Linked DNA regions of Saccharomyces cerevisiae S288C. The protein of the gene in region 1 interacts with the protein of each later gene in a biochemical or structural test. Each region holds a gene or a part of one and is shown in the gene's direction. Other genes may lie near its edges. The genes, in order: COR1 and CYC1.

Evidence for each region.
Region 2: the proteins of COR1 (region 1) and CYC1 are reported together in a solved structure, tested with the Saccharomyces cerevisiae proteins (one study listed by BioGRID).

The regions. Positions count from the first base shown.
Region 1 is NC_001134.8:133,643-137,797, reverse strand, and holds COR1 (ubiquinol--cytochrome-c reductase subunit COR1), read left to right. Parts: upstream 1-2,281; coding exon 2,282-3,655; downstream 3,656-4,155. Other genes in the region: ECM13 (Ecm13p), read right to left, coding at 337-1,110; YBL044W (uncharacterized protein), read right to left, coding at 1,432-1,800; PSY4 (Psy4p), read right to left, coding at 4,049-4,155. UniProt on the Saccharomyces cerevisiae protein: Component of the ubiquinol-cytochrome c oxidoreductase, a multisubunit transmembrane complex that is part of the mitochondrial electron transport chain which drives oxidative phosphorylation.
Region 2 is NC_001142.9:524,650-527,339, forward strand, and holds CYC1 (cytochrome c), read left to right. Parts: upstream 1-1,685; coding exon 1,686-2,015; downstream 2,016-2,690. Other genes in the region: ANB1 (translation elongation factor eIF-5A), read right to left, coding at 259-732; UTR1 (NADH/NAD(+) kinase), read right to left, coding at 2,235-2,690.

The DNA.
Region 1 (4,155 bases):
TGGTAAAATAAAAAACCTGTGCCGAACGCCGTTTTGGAGCATGGTATAGAGTTGAAAATGACTAATAAAAGGAACCGTTAATTTACCCATATACTGGGCGAAAACAAAAGGTTCTTTTTTTTTTTTTTTTTTTTTTTTATTTTATTTTATTTTAAACTAAAAACTTTATTTTGAACGTTATGAAGTAAGAATATATATATTTTGCGTTTGGTATTTAGACAAGTGGTGATGCACTAGTTAGTAATAATGATACAACAACAATGAGAAAAAAAAAATAGGATGCAGATGTGAATATGATAATGCAAAACGAAGTTGTGTTATTTCCTTCATTTTAATTTATGCTGTGATAGGACAAGAATGAAATCTCGTTAATGGTACGGAACCATCGTCGACATCGCTACTACTCTCGTTTTCGCTGTCATCTTCTTGTCCATTTACCCGCCGAGAGAGCACACGGAAGATTGGCGCTGAACTATGCAAACTCACAGCATCGAGCGTTTCAGTGTCCTGTTCTTCCTCTGTCGTAGAGGCAGTGGCGGGAAGAGCATTGTAGCGCGGCGTTGATTCGGCAAGTTCATCCGTCTGCTCGGAATGAGAGTTTGTGTGAGTCAAATATTGATAATTAGGTGCGGTGTGAAAACTAAAGTACATGTCAATTTTCTTGTTATAATCACCGCCAGAGTAATCGTACTCAAAATCATAGTCTTCATAATCATCATCGTCTTCACTGTCAGTAGAAGATAGAGTGTCAGCATCTGGATCTTCGTCACTAGAGTAAAAATCACAGTAATCTTCACTTTCTATCGTCTTTTCTGCATTTTCCTCCTTACCGACGTCATTTTTACTAGCATTAGCATTGGACAATTCGATATGTTCGATGGACAAGTTTTCAGGTCCTTTACTGAAAGGGTCTCCGGCAAGGGCGTTGGTTGCAGCATTATGAGTTTCCACATTTTCTGTAATCTTATCCAGCAAGTTTGCGTGCCCGACTAAAACTCTCAGGTTGTAGTCTTTGTTTTTAGTAGTCACGCTAACGCATTTTGCCAGCTTGGAGCGTACTTTGCTGGCCAAAATATATTGATCTTGAATCGATGGGGTTGTAGAGTTCATTATAATCGCAGTATGCGGAATTTTCTATGTGAGAAAAACAATAAATAATTGTGAAAAAACTTGGATGTATAGTGTAATACTATAAAAAATTTCTGCTGGTATGTAGCTGTCTTTTTATTTTTTCTTTGGTCATACAGGGCTGTAAGCAGAGAAAGTCGAACAAAGACGTAACACCAGAGAAAGAAACTTGAATGCTTTTGTTAGATATATATATATATATTTATACATATGCCTCTCGCTAGAGGATATATCGCCGCGGAGCGCAGCGAACTACATCCGAAAACATCACAAATAATGCATGGGCAACCGGATACATTGCATTTAGTTTTGCCTTTTTTTCCAATTGTCACAGCTTCCTCGAAGTTTCTGACCCGGTAAAACGTGCGAAATGCCTCTTCTAATGCCGAAACAAGGGAAACCCTTAAAGCTTCCGTGCAAGCTGACCATGCCGGTCCGCACTTCGGGTCTTGTCCGTCGCCCGTGATCCAATAGGATACAACTACAAATCTGGGGTAAAGTCCGACTTTCGGCCCGCCGTGCGTTACTGCATGTTACATCACTATGGTGGGGACGGAAAATCACAGATGAGTCAGCTTCGTGATTTCCTGTTTCGGTGATGCTTGCAGTATACTTCAAATACTTCGCTTTACTTGGCAACCTTTTTTTTTGCCTCTCTAGCATTTCACCCATACCCACCAGGGGGAAAAAGAAAAGAGAGATTTTAAAACCAGATATTCTTTTTCACGATTTACATAACCCGGACTGGGTAGGGTAACATGTATATGAACTTTAACTGTGACCCGGACAGCACGCTTTCTGCACCAATGAAATGCCAATAAATTAACAGTGTTTTTTGTCCTCCAGAAGTTCAAGGGCCCGCGCTGTCAGCTGCACCAAATAAAAACCAAACAAGAAAATTAAAGGCCTACAGCGCTCCCTAACCGATATTCCCCTACTCTCTTTCCCCGTCTTATTCGAGGAAAACAGCGTATAATAAAGCAATAGCTTTCACAGAAAAAATATTATATCATCCCTGTTCGTATAGGTAACGAATCCTAATATTAAATTGCTACCATTGCTGATCAAGACAATTGTGGAGTAATAATACGAGAAGAACATCATCGTCACCATATCACTGAGAAAGAAAACACAAGATATATAAACAAAAAAAATGCTAAGAACAGTAACTTCAAAGACTGTATCTAACCAGTTCAAGAGGTCTTTGGCTACAGCTGTAGCAACCCCCAAGGCCGAAGTAACGCAATTATCTAACGGTATAGTTGTAGCCACTGAGCATAATCCTTCCGCTCACACAGCCTCTGTCGGTGTTGTCTTCGGCTCCGGTGCTGCCAACGAAAACCCTTATAACAACGGGGTTTCCAATTTATGGAAGAACATCTTTCTATCCAAAGAAAACTCTGCTGTTGCCGCCAAGGAAGGTTTGGCATTGTCTTCCAATATCTCCAGAGACTTCCAATCTTACATTGTATCTTCTTTGCCAGGTTCTACCGATAAATCACTAGACTTCTTGAATCAGTCTTTCATCCAACAAAAGGCTAATTTGCTATCTTCTTCTAACTTCGAGGCCACGAAGAAATCTGTCTTGAAGCAAGTTCAAGATTTTGAAGAAAACGACCATCCCAACAGAGTTTTGGAACATTTACACTCCACCGCCTTCCAAAACACTCCATTATCTTTGCCTACTAGAGGTACTTTGGAGTCCTTGGAGAATTTAGTTGTTGCTGATCTGGAATCTTTTGCCAATAACCATTTCTTGAATTCAAATGCTGTTGTTGTTGGTACCGGTAATATCAAACATGAGGATTTAGTAAATTCCATCGAATCCAAAAACCTAAGTTTGCAAACCGGTACCAAGCCCGTACTCAAGAAAAAGGCCGCTTTCTTGGGTTCCGAAGTTAGATTGAGAGACGACACCTTGCCAAAGGCGTGGATTTCGCTGGCTGTGGAAGGTGAACCTGTCAATTCACCAAATTATTTTGTTGCTAAATTAGCCGCCCAAATTTTCGGCTCATACAACGCCTTCGAACCCGCTTCTAGATTACAAGGTATCAAATTGTTAGACAACATACAGGAGTACCAATTATGCGACAATTTCAATCATTTCTCTCTTTCTTACAAAGATTCCGGTTTATGGGGGTTCTCTACGGCCACGAGAAACGTTACCATGATTGACGACCTCATCCATTTCACTTTGAAACAATGGAACAGATTGACCATTTCTGTCACTGATACTGAAGTTGAACGTGCCAAATCGCTGTTGAAATTACAATTAGGGCAGTTATACGAATCTGGTAATCCCGTCAATGACGCTAACTTGTTAGGCGCAGAAGTCCTAATCAAGGGCTCCAAACTGTCTCTGGGTGAGGCTTTCAAGAAAATTGATGCAATCACAGTCAAAGATGTTAAGGCTTGGGCCGGTAAGAGATTATGGGACCAAGATATTGCTATTGCTGGTACAGGCCAAATTGAAGGGTTATTAGATTACATGAGAATCAGAAGTGACATGTCCATGATGAGATGGTAAGATGTGTGATAATATATTTTCCATGCACATAAAATAGAAATAAGCAAGCTGCTAGATGTATACAGGCACGCTCGCACACTCACACCATAAATGAATTTTTTACATGTATTTTATATTCTAGTAACCCAAGTAGTCTTCATTATTTATTGGCAAGGTCACTGTTCCTTGCAAAAGTAGAAAATAAAAAAAGAAAAAAAAAGAAACTCGTAAGAAAACAAGATTAAATAAACGTCTTATTTTATATAAGTGTATATATATATATATATATATATGTGACCAAGATCCTGAAGAACTATCGATTTTAAAAATAAGAAAGATGAACTTTTTTTTGGTAAAACATATTTAATGATATTATGCAAATGGGAAGTTGTTGGTAGAGAAGTCATCTCTCGATCATCTGGACTTCTTGCCTAATGGACTGCTAATATTCTCACGGTAGGTAATACCAGCAATCGCAACCATCTTATCCTCTTGTGAAGAGCTCATCGATGGACTCACTA
Region 2 (2,690 bases), on another chromosome or scaffold:
ATCATCCTCGGCATATTGAGGGGAAAATATCCGTCAAAAAAAAAAGTTCTGCACGTCGTCATAAGTGACTATGGTATCAAACACCAATTAACACGAACGTAGCGATAATGAAGGCAACTTCGTAGCTGAAACAGAACGAAGTTAGTTAGGATGAATAATTATGATTATGATTATTATAATATTATATAAAATGTATAAATAAGATTTCTAGATCAAAAAAACATCGCGTATTTTGTAAGCTATAGAAATCTAAAATATCTAATCAGATCTTGGAGCTTCCTTGAAGGAGATGGCAGCTTCTTCACCCATGGCAGAAATGATAGTGACCATCAAATCCTTACCTTCATCGAAAGCAGCTTGCATGCTGTCACCCAATTCACCTTCTGGTGCCTTGACATCGTCTTTGGTTTCACCGTCCATGGTCATCAAGGACAAGTAGCCATCATCAATATCCAACAATTGGTATTCGCTTCTCTTGACAAATGGAACTTCCAAGTTGTGAGTGGATGGAGACAAATCTTCCAACTTCTTACCAGTGAAGATATCAAGGGTAACCAAATGGACCTTGGCGTGACCGTGCTTACCGGTCTTGGAAGTGGACATGTCGACAATCTTACATGGTCTACCTTTGATGACAACGAAACCATTCTTTCTCAAGGCAGAACATTGCATTGGGTAGGTGGCGGAGGCACCAGCGTCAGCATTTTCAAAGGTGTGTTCTTCGTCAGACATGTTTTAGTGTGTGAATGAAATAGGTGTATGTTTTCTTTTTGCTAGACAATAATTAGGAACAAGGTAAGGGAACTAAAGTGTAGAATAAGATTAAAAAAGAAGAACAAGTTGAAAAGGCAAGTTGAAATTTCAAGAAAAAAGTCAATTGAAGTACAGTAAATTGACCTGAATATATCTGAGTTCCGACAACAATGAGTTTACCAAAGAGAACAATGGAATAGGAAACTTTGAACGAAGAAAGGAAAGCAGGAAAGGAAAAAATTTTTAGGCTCGAGAACAATAGGGCGAAAAAACAGGCAACGAACGAACAATGGAAAAACGAAAAAAAAAAAAAAAAACACAGAAAAGAATGCAGAAAGATGTCAACTGAAAAAAAAAAAGGTGAACACAGGAAAAAAAATAAAAAAAAAAAAAAAAAAAGGAGGACGAAACAAAAAAGTGAAAAAAAATGAAAATTTTTTTGGAAAACCAAGAAATGAATTATATTTCCGTGTGAGACGACATCGTCGAATATGATTCAGGGTAACAGTATTGATGTAATCAATTTCCTACCTGAATCTAAAATTCCCGGGAGCAAGATCAAGATGTTTTCACCGATCTTTCCGGTCTCTTTGGCCGGGGTTTACGGACGATGGCAGAAGACCAAAGCGCCAGTTCATTTGGCGAGCGTTGGTTGGTGGATCAAGCCCACGCGTAGGCAATCCTCGAGCAGATCCGCCAGGCGTGTATATATAGCGTGGATGGCCAGGCAACTTTAGTGCTGACACATACAGGCATATATATATGTGTGCGACGACACATGATCATATGGCATGCATGTGCTCTGTATGTATATAAAACTCTTGTTTTCTTCTTTTCTCTAAATATTCTTTCCTTATACATTAGGACCTTTGCAGCATAAATTACTATACTTCTATAGACACACAAACACAAATACACACACTAAATTAATAATGACTGAATTCAAGGCCGGTTCTGCTAAGAAAGGTGCTACACTTTTCAAGACTAGATGTCTACAATGCCACACCGTGGAAAAGGGTGGCCCACATAAGGTTGGTCCAAACTTGCATGGTATCTTTGGCAGACACTCTGGTCAAGCTGAAGGGTATTCGTACACAGATGCCAATATCAAGAAAAACGTGTTGTGGGACGAAAATAACATGTCAGAGTACTTGACTAACCCAAAGAAATATATTCCTGGTACCAAGATGGCCTTTGGTGGGTTGAAGAAGGAAAAAGACAGAAACGACTTAATTACCTACTTGAAAAAAGCCTGTGAGTAAACAGGCCCCTTTTCCTTTGTCGATATCATGTAATTAGTTATGTCACGCTTACATTCACGCCCTCCTCCCACATCCGCTCTAACCGAAAAGGAAGGAGTTAGACAACCTGAAGTCTAGGTCCCTATTTATTTTTTTTAATAGTTATGTTAGTATTAAGAACGTTATTTATATTTCAAATTTTTCTTTTTTTTCTGTACAAACGCGTGTACGCATGTAACATTATACTGAAAACCTTGCTTGAGAAGGTTTTGGGACGCTCGAAGGCTTTAATTTGCAAGCTTCGCAGTTTACACTCTCATCGTCGCTCTCATCATCGCTTCCGTTGTTGTTTTCCTTAGTAGCGTCTGCTTCCAGAGAGTATTTATCTCTTATTACCTCTAAAGGTTCTGCTTGATTTCTGACTTTGTTCGCCTCATGTGCATATTTTTCTTGGTTCTTTTGGGACAAAATATGCGTAAAGGACTTTTGTTGTTCCCTCACATTCCAGTTTAGTTGTCGACTGATACTGTTAATAAACTCATCGGGCGAGGCTTCCACGGTTGGAAAAGCATATGGGCTGGCGCATATGGTTATAAAATCACCTTTTTGCAATTCAATTCTATCTTTCCCATCAAAAGCCGCCCATGCTGGAGCCCTTGACTTCATCGAGACTTTCACTTTTAAATTTATACTTTC